Arabidopsis thaliana: one gene and its partner. The protein of the gene in region 2 interacts with the protein of the main gene of each other region in a pairwise test. Each region holds a gene or a part of one and is shown on either strand. Other genes may lie near its edges.

Region 1 (7,799 bases), on a different chromosome or scaffold from region 2:
GAAGTAGTGATGAGTTTTTTATATTGTTTGCATTCAAAAATAATTAACATGTGCCTTTGTATGTTTAATCACTTTCTTTCGACTACAATATAAAACTATATTCATATTTAACACAACATTGACGAAAATTTAAAAAACAAATTCATAATTTCATTAATGATATTACTTATCACTAATTAGGAATTATATAATTCTAATTCCCTCCTCGTTCTGAGCTTTTGTTTCATCTTTACGCTCTCTCTTACTCTCAGCCAAAACCCTATACTCTCTTTCAATCCCAATGGAAGATTTGGTTTTGATGAAACAGAGTCTTCTAAAAAGCTTCATCGTCTCTCTTATTCTCACTCTCGTCTTCCTCATCTCACCATCATCATCATCTTCGAATCAAGAAACAAGAGTATCATCAACACAAAAAACGGAAGCTTATCTCAACGGTTACGAATCACCGCACCAACTCGTCTACATCAAGAAAACGACACCGTTTATCTTGAACCAGCGGTTGCAACGAGACAACCACCGTCGTCGTCGTTACAATCACCAATACTACTACTACTATCGACATACTCTTCGTCATCGCCGTGGTCTTCATCATCGTGCTGGCTACTTCAAGATGATGGCCAAGAAGAATAACGGTTTAAACCGTCCGGTTCGACAGGATACTTTCTCGGTTATGCTTCCCAAAGGATTCGTACCTCCTTCCGGTTCATCTCCATGCCATAACCAGAACCCTAATTCCGCTACTACTCTCTTTTGCGATCTTTCTACACAACCCTAGATATCGTTGCCGATACGTCGTACGTGAAACGATTTTGTTCCTCTCGTCGCACTTTTGTATTTTTCATCTTTTAAAGATTTTTTTTTCTTTTTTGTTCGGAATGACCGGTGCATTGATCAGTGCATTTTTGACGGTCAAGTGTATGAAAATAATTTGCATACTAATGTTTGATTGTTCGTGTCCTTTGATTTTTCAGAAAGTACTTATTTTTCCTTACGTGCAGCTGAATTATTTTATTCTATAAAACTAAACTTGACTGATCGGTAAAATAATATATGGAGAGAAAAAAGCATATGTGTCTATGTTTTCAAGGTCAAAACGCATCGTTTGTGGCAAGAACAAGGGAGTATATTGAGCCGATATAATTGGAAATGAGCATGTGAATTTGCATCGTGAGCATAAGCTCTTGTTTCATGGCTTTTTTTTCTTAGCTTCAGTTCCAATTCTTCGTACCGTCCACTCCAATGCATATGTTTGCATTCTAATATCTATATTATATAACTAGCTAGGGATTGTATTTAAAATATCCAACAACATATACAAATGAATTAAGCTATGCCATATTTCTTGAATTAGAGGGAAAAAAATATATGGTTGATTCTAAACCGCTACTGGTTATCGATTATATGCCTTTTGGTCAAAGTTACTACTTACTCAAACCTTTTCATATACGACAAGTTTTTCTTAAAAAGTAAACTTTGTTTCTTTATTATATATGTCAATTACTTGTTAACGACAACAATAAATTTAGAATTTTCACTATTGACCGACTTCATTTGAATGTTGAATTGAATATAAATTATATTTATCAAGCTTATAATTAAATTGTTTACATAAATATCCTAAACAATCGCGTTATTATATTGTCAATAACTTTTCCTCTAAAATAGTCTCAACATTACAACTTGAACCATCGCCAATATCAAAATTGTCCAATACTCCAAGCTCCTCTTTGCCTGAAAGAAGAAGAAAACAGAGAATTAATTCATTTTGCACATCTAGTCCTTTCACAAACTTATTCTCGTCGTGGCCCCAATAATTCCAAATTCTAACAAAATTCACCACATAATACTAATCGTACCTTAGTGGCAGAGGATGAATAAGTGACAGATTCTGAATTTGCCGTCGTTGTCGACATTGTAGAGAATCCCAAATTGTAAGCTAATGATCCATCTGGTTGGAATATACCGTAGTTTTTCTCCGAAGTAGGACCTGGTTTCATATCTTCATTGAACAACGCAAATATATAAACATCGAGTCTTGCATTCCGTCTCGCTGGAGTTCCTTCTCCGGCGAATTGCCTCATCATAAGATTCCGGTTATACGTGGCAGCATTCACAGGAGACGCTCCAATCTCTCCGACATCTCCTTTTGAAGGCCACCCTGTTTCCGCAACCCTAACTTCTATGTTACGGTACCCTAGTTTCGCAGCCGCGAAAGCAACTGCGTCAACTTGAGCATACATCATGTTGTCGTAGTGTAGTCTTGTGTTGGGATCGGTCATGCCGATGTTACGGTTGAATAGAACGTAATCGACTGGGATTTCTTGTGGGTTATCTTTGTAGGCAAAGTAAGGGTAAGCATTTATCCAAAAAGGAGATTTCGTGGCTTCCAAGAAATCTAGAAGTTGTTGCATCACGGAGGAAACCTCCGGCTTGAAACTTCCGGCAGATGGAGGATAAGATTCACCGAGGACGGCAAGAGAGCTTGGAGACGAGACTTGAATGTATCTATCTAAACCTAATTGGACCAAGGCTTTGTGGATGTTGATTATCGCCGGCATCATGTATCTATTACCAAAAAGAGGAGAGAATATAGTCAAAATTAGCAATTATTGGACAAAAACTATTACACTCATTTCTTATTGAAATTCAAAGTGGAGTTTAATAAATATAATATTTTTTTCGAAGGAGTTCGTTACATTTGACCAAGTGGTAGTCAAGAAAATGTGAAATCAGTTAATGAAAAAAAACTAATTCTGTGATCATGTAACAAATTAGACTAATATTCAACGATTAGTACTTACCCTATTAAACTAGAGTCGTCGTCGGTGAAAAGCTCGTTTCCGACCATAATTCCGGTAATCCTAGTGGCCGGAACATAGGGTTTAATGTGAGAATCTACCCATTGGGTAGCTTGTTGAGGATCTTGTAGTAATGGTAAAACCTGATTTTCGATGGTGACGATGATCTCGATGTTTGAATTTGCAAAGGCACTAAGGATTTGAGGGTTAGTGTCGTAAATTCTTGTTTTTGTGATCCTTAAAGATCTCAAGAGGTTAATGACTTTATCCGGTGAAGGCAAATTGTTCCCAACTTGTCCGTAATTGATGCCAAGAGACGTTACTGTTTGTAGTATATTCCCTATATTTCCAAACAAAGAATCGAACTTTTAGAAAACAATGCCAAAAATCTTTAATATTCCATTAAACAAACATTGAAAAAATGAATTCTAGACTTATTATCGATCCGTTATTTCACTATGTTAAAATCTTACACGTTGAGGTTTTAAGGCGGCAACGTAAAGCATAACTTAAGTGTTAAGAATTTGGTTTTAAAATTTCAGAATGAAAAAGAAAATAACCTGAGAAAACGAGAGAAAGCAGGAGAAAAACATGAATGAGACTGGAATGTCTTGTGAATGTTCTTGATGTCATGTTGAGGAAGAGAGAGGGAGGGAAAGAGATTGTGAAGGTTTTGGGTTTTAAGAGAAGTGTTTAATGGAATATTTATAGACATACACAATAAGCCAACCAAGGTGAAGAATACTTTTCTTCGCTTGTTTGTTTTTTTTCCGTGTTTTTTGTTGTGAAAAGGTTTAGTGTTGAAGTTTATGTTTTTTAAAAAAAGTGTTTTTAAATTGTTTAGCTTTGCCTCCCTATATTGCTTTTCTCATTTATGCCTTTTTTATCCACTGACGGCTTTCTATAAACCACAACGAAGGATTTCTTATTAAAGAAAATTATTAGGTTTTAAAATATTTGTATGTAGTTATTTATCATATAGCTAGATTAATGCAGACTCTATGACAAGACAATTTGCATGCACATGTATGGAAGGAAATACGTTGTTTGTGTGTTTCGTTTAATTACATGTACTATACAAGTGGTGTTAACTGTTGGGTTGGTAAAAAAAGTGAGCAATGTTATTAAATTAAGAAGAGATTGGGATACACATAAGTGGACGTGTATAGAATATTGAAGAAGTTTCATAAAGCACCGGAAAATATTAAAATATTCGTTTCAATTAAGTAGGTGAGTCGTGACTTAAAACAAACTTGTACTATACACCAAAAGTTTATTCTACGATAATCATGGAGAAAAAGACGTGGTATAAAAATTAATATTAACACAATGAAATTTTAATAGATAATCATGTCTTGTAGAATAATCATGAAAGGTAAAATATCAAATTTTCAGCTAAAACTTCATGACAAAAGAAATTTTATAATGGGTTATTAGTCCCACAAAAATGGTCTTTATTTTTCTTATTAACTTTTACTACTATTAATATTATTATCTAATTTATCTGAATCATTGATTTTACTAATCACGTGTTAATTATGATTAATTTAATGCTAATTCAAATTCGAAGAATAATGATTACATTTTCGCATGAATCTTGACCGCAAGTGTATCCTAGCCTAATTAATATGACAAACAAACCTTACTATATTTCTTTAGACAAAAGCTAATTGGAGATCCGATTTGACTTGACGTGTCAAAGGATTCAATAGTACACTGAGGAAGCCTCCTCCGTTTCTCCTTTAAAGTTTAATATTTTCAAATCTCCCGGGAAATATAATACATACAAATAAACATATATCACATATTTATTTTCTTTTTGTAATCCGAGGCTTTTGGACGGAAATTCATACAAGTCCTCGAAAGTTATCAAGAACGGGATATCCAAAATTGTATTCGTGAAAGATATATAAGTCGTAATATAATTTGCCATTAATTGTCAAGAAAAAATCTCAAATATATTGTTATTCGGATTAAGATGATAGAGAAGGGATATACTTACTTTCCTTTAGACAAAAGGATCATGCTTAATTTTGAGGCACTTGTAAAATAAAACAAGACAAATATGATAATGTATAAATTGACAAATAACTAAAAGCATTAGCATAACAAAAGTAAAATAAAATGGTCAATTGGGATAATGTTGCTAATATGCTTTCGAGGGGAATTAGACAAGTTGGCGGGGCAGTGTCACACACTTGGAGCCGTCGGTCAATTTCAACCATCGGTTGTTTTTTAATCACCTGACATAATAAACCCCAACAAAACTTATTTAAGAAATAGTAAGTGCTTTCGCTTGGTTGGCTATTGATTTGTTAATCAATTAATTTCTACTTACTATATTTTTAAATGGTAAAATATAAAGGGTTAAACTTGATCACGTAGACGATAGTCAATTCGTTTTCTCGAAAGGTTGGCTAGCCAGAAAATTACATTAATTTAAAGTGGAACTTTTGGCTGTATTGATCTAATCCAAAATACCCTAGTGTCTTCTTTTCGATTCTATAATATTAAATCTTCTCTCTTTTTCACGACACCAAGAGCCATTTTATTTGAACACATGTATACAACTTATAAGAAATATACCCGTCTCAAGCTATTGAACTTGTTGCAATTAAAAATGTAATCGTTCGATGTTGGAATTAAATATGTGGAAAGGAGTCAAAATCAGTCAATTATTCAGAGTGGCCTGTTTATAGTTGGCTGAAAACTTTTAGTTCGTCGTTTAAAAGTTTGATTTCGTGGCTTAGGATTGACCACCGGTCGACTTATGGCAGTTCCATATAGATTAATTTGATAATGACGTAACTATATACCATACACGGCCGAACAGATTGTTTTATATAGGCCTATATGTGTAAAGTTAAAGATAATTTGATTTATTATCGAGTATATGACACAAGTTTTAATTTATTTCTAATGTTTAAATTTAATGATTCTGGTTTAGTTCTTCATGAATATGATCTAGTTTGTTAATTATTTACTGAATGGACATATTTTTGGTTGCAGAATATTTCAAGTTTACGTTATCTGTGGATATTTTAATGTCCAAATCAGAAAGATCATATAATTGTCCAGCAAGTTTGAAACAGCAGACAGAAAAAGAGAATGATTTTGTTTTAGCTCGGATTGAAAGAATATGCCATTTAATCTGCAATTTATTTACAATATCGAATATGCAAATAAAATGACATGAAAGCTTTTTAAAGCAACACAAGTACTCAACGATATCAATGTTTTTGAACAAAGGTTAAGTTTCTTCAAAGAAAGGGTTTAACCCTTTTAACGCATGAAAAATAGAGTATATATAGGGTTTACTTGATTCGGATTTCCATGTTGGACATTTGCAAATGTATGATGCATCACACCCAACTGTGGGAATTTGATAGTGATAGGTAACTAAATTGGTTAACCATTTCCAACTTGGACCATGTGCGAATTGGTTTGAAGGTGGTAATATTAAGGTACCTTTGAATTCTCCCGCATGAATGATTCGGGAAGTGTTATAGCGGGTTTCTTAAAGAGAACAGTGTAGATAAGGGAGAAGATTGCAAAATCAAAAAAAAACAAAAAAAAAAAAAGATTGCAAATTTTACCTACTGTTTAACAAATGGATCAGGCCAAACCATCATTAAACATGCTTGACAGGTCTAGGTTGGGTTGGACCGACATGTTTTTTTTTTTACTTAACAATATATAGTTCACCAGATCAAAAATTCAAATTATATCTGCATAAAAGATACTAAGCTGCACCAAAGTGAACATATAGTTAAATAATGAGCCTATAACGTATCTAAAAATTCTTTTTGACGTCATACACTTGTATTTTATATTTGAACTGAACTCTATATACATATATTACCAAGATTCACATACTGTACTTAGTTTGGATTCATTAGACAAAATAAGATATTTGACGTCATATTAAAATACAGATATCGTGGGCCATTTCGAATAGTGGATATATATAATACTTATAATCGAGTCAAAATGGTGTAAAGCATTATTTCATAAAGCTGCCTACAAAATTGAATTTTTGGTGGATAATGGATAAGGATTAAGCGGCAAGATTTATGAAGAAGAAAAACAAGCTTTATGATCATATAGGAGAGGAAAGTTAATGTCTTATCCAACAACGATAATGCTTTCTCGATAACCAGTAAACATCGTGCATGCATGGCTAAAAGCTTTTACGTGTGCTTTTTTTTTCTTTATAGTAGTTAAAATTTAAATGTTCTTATACTAATCAAAGTGTTTTTCATTTATGACGCGCATACGTAAAAAGGGCCTTAAATCTATGTGTATGTTTCTCTTTTTACTCCATCTTTTTTGGTTAACGACAAGAAAATGAGAATTTCGAAATATTTTATAAAAAGTATGTAAATTTGGGTGCGACATTAAAGGATAAGACACGTAATATTTTAGAAATTTATATTGAAAGTTCAAATTTTTATATTATTAGGGGACAGCTTATCGTTGGTTTTAGTTGTATTTTGTTTTGTCAACTTGTCTGATGTCATGAGCTTTTAGGCATTTTCGATTCTAGAATTTTAGTTTTGCATGTATCAGAGAATTGTATTTAAACAAATTAGACACATATTCAATGATTATTACTTACCCTATTACAATGACAAATAAAAAAACGGAGACGAGTCTAAAATGATAAATCCAACGTGTAGTCTAGTCATACATCGTTGTTCAGTTGTTAAAAGATTATAAATTATACAGCTTTATTTCACAGTACCGAACGAGATCGATGTCACTTACTCTGTAACTTCATAATATCTACGCCTTTGTATATATACAGATATATGTTGGCCTTTCGTGTATAGGGTTGTGTATATATTTCTTTAATTTAGTCACTTCTTAGAACCATCTTTCTCTTTATTGTCATCCAAGGGATACTCTAGTATTATTTAACTTTTCTTCAACATTTCAATCGCTTTTTTTTGGCACATGGCTTGACATGTAAAAGGGTGATTGTATGCGTGTGTGGATTCA
Region 2 (7,458 bases):
GGGAGGAAAAGTTTTATTGAAACGGTAAGTTTTGGTCTAGAGCTACTGAGCCAGTGTTTGGATTTAACCATCGATTTATCTAAAAGTTTGTTTCTTTATGTTTGGTTTGTTACCAGTGGCGAAGGAAAAATGGAGAGACAGTTTAGAATGAACTGTATCGGTTGTGAGCTTTTTGTTTGTTATCGTGCTGAAGAGAATCTGGAAACAGCGTCTTTCATTTACATTGTTGATGGAGCACTTAGTGCTGTTGCTGCAGAAACCAACCCACAGGTACAATTGGTTTCTTATAATCTTTTCAATTCCAAGATCAAAAACTAGATCACTAATCTGTTGTGGCGGCACACAGGATGCACCAGTACCTCCCTGCATTTCACAACTCGACGGTGGACTTGTTCAGGTTGCAATAGAAGTGGAAGACCGTGCACAACGTTCAGCAATCACAAGTAAAACATAGTATTATGGCACAAAATCTATTTTCTTACTCACTTGACATGGATCTTCGATTAAACAATTGCCATACTCTTTTTTCTCTCTGCAGGGGTAAATGCTGATGATGTTCGTGTGACTGTTGCTGCACCAGCAGCCCGTGGGGAAGCTAACAACGAGCTTCTGGAATTCATGGGAAGGGTACCAAATCAATCCGTTATTAATCACTTTTTAAGATTTATACTCTAGTCACGGCGTTTCATATTTTGTATGTGAAAATGAGGTTTTTTGACCAACGCGACACGACCTCTGTGTTTTTACTCTTTCAGGTTCTTGGTTTAAGGTTGAGCCAGATGACTCTCCAAAGAGGTTGGAATAGCAAATCAAAACTCCTCGTGGTACGTTGATCCTTCCTTTGAGTCTCTTGAGAAGACTTTGTGAAGATTCATCTCTAAAAACTCTTATTGTTTTTCTTAGCTCTAGATGATAAGGTTTTGGCTTTTATACTAATGGCACAAGGACCTCTAATAGTGGTGATCAAAAATAGGTTGTCGCATTGAATGAATAACCCATTCTGATTTTTGTTCCCCTGAACCAGGTCGAGGATTTATCAGCTAGACAAGTGTATGAGAAGCTTCTCGAGGCCGTTGTACCGTAAAAACTGCGGTTTGTGGTTGGTGAACGACATTAGCTGAAATCTCTGCAACTCCTTAGTTAACACCCTTTATTGGTATGAAGAACGAGTTTTCGTATTTTACTTGAGAAAGATAGCTATAAACAAATTGCTTTCTTCTTTGTTTTCATGCTTATGCGACAACTAACTCTTTTTATACAATCCCCTATTGTTAAAAGTTATAATAATCGTCTATACTCTTTAGATTCCTTCAAAACTGATTTATCTATTTCGGACCATTCGAAATTGAAGTCATATGAAAAAAAGTTTGAAAATCTTTATATATATGTCTGCACTAATTTCAAAAACCTGTTATTAAAAACAAATTTTCAGTGTATAATCTGCAGAATAAAACGATCACTATTGCACTAATTAAGCTTAAGAATAAGATATATTTGTGTAGTCCAAAGGTGACTGTACTGTGACATGTTTCACATGTTTCAGTTCTATTTCATCGCTGTATCGGACCAATCGTCACAGACACAGTTAGCTAGTTTGTAATTATATATATCTGCCCCAATCTCTATTTATTAATATTAGAGACATACATATACTTCCAGAAAGTGTTTAATGCGTGACCTATGTCTATCAAACTGATTAATATATTGCATCCACTTCGATAAGACGACATACTGATTTATATTTAATTTTTCTATTCACAAGTAAACTGTGAATCCCACACATATATAATATATTTATTTGATTTAATTTATAAACCACACATTTTACATATTAGTTGGATATTCTACAAGGACATGACTTGATTAATCAATTAATTAAATATACATCGAATCACATTGCTCTCTCCTCTTGATCTTCACCTTTAGCCCACCAGCCATGTGAGCGGTTAGAAGAGGAACAAAGACCGGCCGGTTATTGCAAACCGGTATAATCTTAAACCGACTCAAAACTGAACCAACCACGTATTTCATTTGTGTAAAAGCCATTTCTTTACCTATGCAAACCCTTGGTCCGGCTTGGAAAACCGGAAACTTGAACGAACTCACACTTTTCAAAACCGGTTTTGTACCGTAACTCGGTTCTTCCTCAAACCACCGGTTTGGTTTAAACTCGTCCCAATCTTTACCCCACACCTTCTCCATCCTTCCCATACCGTAAGGGAAATAAGTGACTTTGTCTCCCTTTTTGAGAGGTGTTCCATCTGGCAAAATGTCGTCGTTTGCTGCATGCTTTGAGTCCCAAGCCACTGGTGGGTAAAGCCTCATTGCTTCACACAGACAAGCTTTTGTGTAACTCATCTCTCTCAAATCCTCAAACCCTAACCCTAAAGACCCTTTGTTTCTCAATTCGTCGAGTATCTTCGTCTCCACGTCATCATTTTGACTCAACAACCAAAACAGCCACGTCATCGCTGCCGACGTTGTATCCCTTCCCGCCATAATAAAGCTGATTACACTATCCCTCACGGCTTCTTCCCCGTGGCCAGCGGCGAGAAACCTCGACAGCAGGTCCTGCTTGTCCGACACGTCACCACCGATATCGAGGCTTTTCTTTTTGGCCCGGATGATCTCAGACACAGACAAGTGTACGGTCTTGATGGCTTCTCTCAACCTCTTCTCGCTCCCTACGTTCAAGAAACGCTTTACTTTCCACACGGCGTAAACCGGCTCCGTGGCGCGGCGAGCGCTGATCTCCGCCGCTACATCAAAAGCCTTAACAAGTTCTGGAACGGGTCGGGTCAAATCCAAACAATCCGGATCCCAACCCAACGACACTTTGCATACAACATCGAAAGCAAAGCGCTTCAAAACCTCCTGAAAATCAACCGTCTCTCCACAGTCCACGGCGGAGGAAAGCACCGGAATGAGGCGGTTTTGGACTTCTTCACGGAGGATTTCGAAAGTGAATTCCCTAAGAGAACGCATTGTAAACTCGTGGCTCGCGAGTTTACGCTGTGAGCTCCATAACTCGCCGTCAGAATTAAAGATTCCGCCGCCGAGTAGATCTCCTAGGAGGTCGGTGAAAGGTTTGCCTTTAGGGAAGTTATAAAAATTTGTTTTGAGAATGTGCTCAACGTTTTCAGGGTTTGCAGTGATGATAGTCCGACGACCGAAGAGGAGATCGACGGTGATGGTTTGAGACGGAGAGAGACGGAGGAGATCTGTGTACCATTGGAGAAGACGGTGGCGGTTTTTGTTGAAGGAGAGAATAGAGCCGATGAGTTGGTACGATGTCGGATTAGAGGGTGATGCGGTTTTGGCTTTTAGGGTTTTTGTTGGGAATGAGAAGATTAATACAAACCCTATGATTGGAAATAGGATGAGAATTATTGCGTTGAGCATTTCCATTTTGGATTCTTGGGTTTCTTGTTTGGGTAAGTTAATTATGTTGTTTTGATTTGTGTTCTTGATCTGTAGAGGAACTATTATATATATAGGAGAATAAAAACAGAATAAAAGTTGTGGCTCCGACCATATCACTTCGGTACAGAACACGACATAATTAATAAAGCTTTCTTTCATTTCTTTATTGAAACTTGATTAGTATTTTGAGCGATAAAGCTTTTTCATTTAAGAAGGTTTACCTTAATTAGTATTGTCTCAAGTCGGATCCCAACCCTAATTTTGATTTATAAAAAACAAGTTGTTTTGACTTTTGAGTAAAATGAACAAACACCTTCATTCATTTTTTTTAACAAAATGGAGAAAATGTCATCGTCAAAAGATTAAAAAATTAAAATGGAAAATGTGTAAGCTCGTTTTTCTTTTGTCAAACATATAAGCTACTTTTGTAAAGAACTATTGTATAGATACATATACATTGGACTTGGCCATTATAAATTGGAATTGTTAAGGATTTTGGCTATATTAATAAGAAAATTTGGTATCCTCTTTGATATGATCAAATTAATAAAAGTTACACGTGATCAACAAGTTTATTTGCTTAAACAGTTGGAAGAAATAATCAAGCTAATTAAAACGTTTTTGAAACATATTTTCAGTAAATGTCGACGCAACATGGCAATCACACAGGGACCAAAGAAATGAAGATTGATGTATAATTAAGTTGATTTGGACAAGCCACTACCACCGAACCGGTGGCCAAGTCTCCCGCCAAAACTAATAATAAGAGACATAGACACGGTTCAAACGCTGAAAAGGTTAAACATTTTCATCAACGAAACAATTATAAATATATTTTATACTGTATTTAGTTAAGTGGTCTCTCATCAGAACTTATAAATGTTGCTTGTATTAAAACTTTTTGCCCCTTCCTGGAATAGTAACAGAATCTTTCACTTAAACAACAAACTCTAGTAGTATTAGTTATTCTAATCATTAATTATGTCCAGCCCGTGATGACATAAGTGATGATCTGACAAATAATGAACTTTGATACTTAGGAGATCTTTTTGAATCAAGGGAATCATCAAATAATATATAATACTCAATTACTCAGCATTTGCAATAAATATTATCTTCGTTTCTTAAGGAGTTGATCCGCATATATGCCCAAAGACCAAAGTAAGTAACCAAAACACATTGGAATCTCTTTGCAAGACGAAATTCGAATTCGGACATAAAATTTGATTTGTTTTTAATCTGTGTATCTTTCTAAACAATATTTAAATTTGGATTACAACTAGAACAATATCCTTACAATCGGTTGAGCTACCAACATTTTTGTTGCTATATCTAGTGTCGATAAGTTAGTGAACTATTGAAATCAAGATTACTGTATCTCACTAGCATATATGTTTGTTCTAATATTAATTTAATCACAGTTCTAAATTAAATAAGTGTAATTTCTTTGCGTGCAGACGAATAATTCATTACATGAGGACGACAAAGTATTGGTTGGAGAATCCGCCAATACCAGACATGTGTCGGATAAGATCGAACACGTTGATAAAATTCTTCAGCCGAAATTTGAAACAATTGAATGCACGATTATTATTAACGTTATGTATGTAGAACAACAAATAAAAATACACTTTTTGTGACTACTAGTTCAGTGGATCTTTATCAGTTTTCGTGCACGTGGTTCACGTGGTTTGAAAATCGAGTTTCTTTCATAGAGCAAAAAAGTCGGAACTAGTTCCATTGACTTATTTTTAAGCTCGTGTTGGCTGAAAATCATCCACATTTTAAAAAATAATACAATCTTACCTCTTTGTCTCATCTATACTTTATTTCGTTTTAGATATTTCATATTTATTTGCCTACTCATTAAAAAAATATCTATCTAGTAATCTTTTTTAACTAACTCATTTCATTAAAATAGACGAGAAAGGTATAGTGGTTTATGTATATTGATTATAAAATAAACAAAATGATGCATACATTTCTTTTGTAGTCCGGCGTTAATAATTGATGATATGCGGAGTGAAAAAACGAAAACCAATGGTTAATTAATTAGTTCATATGCAAAATATGGTGAAAATATGTAAGATTGGTGTGAGCCTGTCACGTTGTGACCAGAAAACGGCGCCGTTCGGAGAACTGGCTCCATTAAGTACAAGAGCTCTGAACCAAAAGCATCGCAACGAGTTTCTACTTATTTATTAGAAAATGTCCACAAGTGTCCCATTCTTTGCTTTGATTTGACACACAATTATTTGTCATAACGACATCTACAAAAAAAGAAAGAAAGAGAAGAATTGCCCTTCTTTGAAAGTACTTTCTCTTTCATTTTTCGTTCTCACAACTTCATTTTCACCGTCCAAGAGACTCGTGGTTTTGACTCGCACTAATTTTTATGATGCTTTTGTTTTCATTTTTGAAAGGGAGAAAAGAGAGGTACTATATCAAATAGACATCATTTTACTATCAAGAATAAGAAATTATTTCAATTTTTTTAAAAAATTAATAAATAATTTAGAAATTCAACACTAGCTTTTCACGGTTAAATACTAAAGTCTAATCCATAAAACTAAAATTTTAGCCCCATTTATTTTCTTTTTTCGTTTTATCTCCTAATAACCAAAAATATACAACGGTTGTGTTTGTAATTTTTTCATCAAATCCGCCACAAAAGGATTTTGGTTTCACTTTTTGGTAGGTGAACAGGAATTGAAAATTTGCATGTCTCACTTGCGGGTCAAATGTTGTTTTGCCTTATAATTCTTCTTTGATTTTAAACTATTGACCATAGTGTTGTACTTAATATAGCCAGCCCCAAAGCAATTCCATCACATTTTTAATTAACCAAGACCGCCTGGTTTGGTTTGGTTTGCTTTATCAAAAGATGAAATCCATATTACAAATGTCACCAAACCGGATTCATAAACTAAAGTAGCCTAATTCCTGATAACAAATTCTCCAGATGAGATCAAAAGGATTTGTATTTGATCAAGAACAACAACAATTCTCTCCTATTTGGGAAACCTCTAAAGATACATATATTCACCAGAGCACCCTTCTCAACTTCATTTCAGTTGGCACTCTTCAGACGCGCAATGAGCTCATCCTGCAAAACCAGTCAAGTTCCATAATCAATCAGTGGAACAAGAGCCACGATAAACAAAGAACTGGAAGCAACCCCATACGACAGATTCTTTAAGATACTATTGAGAGTACAAGACTGAGAAGCTGTAAACAATTTTAACAGAGTTTTCAAAAAGAACAGTAGCATATATTGTGACTTGCCTTTCTTCCTTTTGTTGGAAGGCCCTTCTCCTTGAGCATGGCGCGGAGCTTCTCAACGGTCAAAGACTGAAAGTCTCTTTCGCCTGTGCGACTGCTTGATCCTTCTGTGCAGAAGAAATTCATTGTTTAAAGTCCAAGTGACATACGATCTTGAAAATTAAATCAAATAGAATTAAAGGTATAAAGAGATAACCTTGTCTAGATGCATTAGCAGCTCTTTTAGCTGAGCTTCTGTCGTCCAGAGCTCTATTTGCAGCCCTACGAATAAGAAAAAGTAATAGATGAACACACCATTTATGTAGGCAATAAGAAAGATTAGTGATTTTCAGTCAGTAAGATTAGTCACGCAAGGGAGGAAAGAACTAATCACGTGTCGTAGTTACCTCTTTTTAGGACCATCTTCAGCAGTTCCTTTTGAGTCTTTAGAACTAGATTCGCCTTTTTGCTTCTTTAACAAGAGAGATCTGATTAGTATATTTTGCTGGTTTGTTTTGATAAGCTGTCCTTCTGGATATATGACAAACAAAATAAGTTAGGAGTTGTTAGTAAGACAAAATTCTACAGGAAACAAAGACTTATTACTGAAACGCAGCTTATTCTGAAACTGATAATCCTGAGACTCCCAATTACTTTTCCAGTGTAGCCAATTCTCACCCAGAGAGAAAATGAAAAGGAATTGTTTTATGAGATTGCTACAAGAAACTGTCTCTAAGAAAACAACTCGTGGAACAAAACGAAAAAAGAAAAGAA

What was found. Proteins that work in one complex are often made in the same cells at the same time.
Region 1: the proteins of CYP94B1 (region 2) and AT4G18340 interact in a two-hybrid assay, tested with the Arabidopsis thaliana proteins (one large-scale study listed by BioGRID).

The regions. Positions count from the first base shown.
Region 1 is NC_003075.7:10,128,589-10,136,387, forward strand, and holds AT4G18340 (Glycosyl hydrolase superfamily protein), read right to left. Parts: upstream 3,605-7,799; 5' UTR 3,432-3,604; coding exon 3,359-3,431; intron 3,139-3,358; coding exon 2,802-3,138; intron 2,566-2,801; coding exon 1,857-2,565; coding exon of another isoform or gene 1,824-1,856; exon of another isoform or gene 1,732-1,823; coding exon 1,657-1,731; 3' UTR 1,462-1,656; downstream 1-1,461. Other genes in the region: AT4G18335 (uncharacterized protein), read left to right, coding at 281-775.
Region 2 is NC_003076.8:25,407,112-25,414,569, forward strand, and holds CYP94B1 (cytochrome P450, family 94, subfamily B, polypeptide 1), read right to left. Parts: upstream 3,615-7,458; 5' UTR 3,583-3,614; coding exon 1,876-3,582; 3' UTR 1,710-1,875; downstream 1-1,709. Other genes in the region: AT5G63440 (hypothetical protein (DUF167)), read left to right, coding at 1-24, 117-270, 347-443, 539-627, 756-824, 1,025-1,084; AT5G63460 (SAP domain-containing protein), read right to left, coding at 6,494-6,529, 6,709-6,812, 6,902-6,966, 7,092-7,215, 7,302-7,337. UniProt on the Arabidopsis thaliana protein: Hydroxylase involved in the oxidation of the plant hormone jasmonoyl-L-isoleucine (JA-Ile), a bioactive phytohormone of the jasmonate-mediated signaling pathway. Converts JA-Ile to 12-hydroxy-JA-Ile.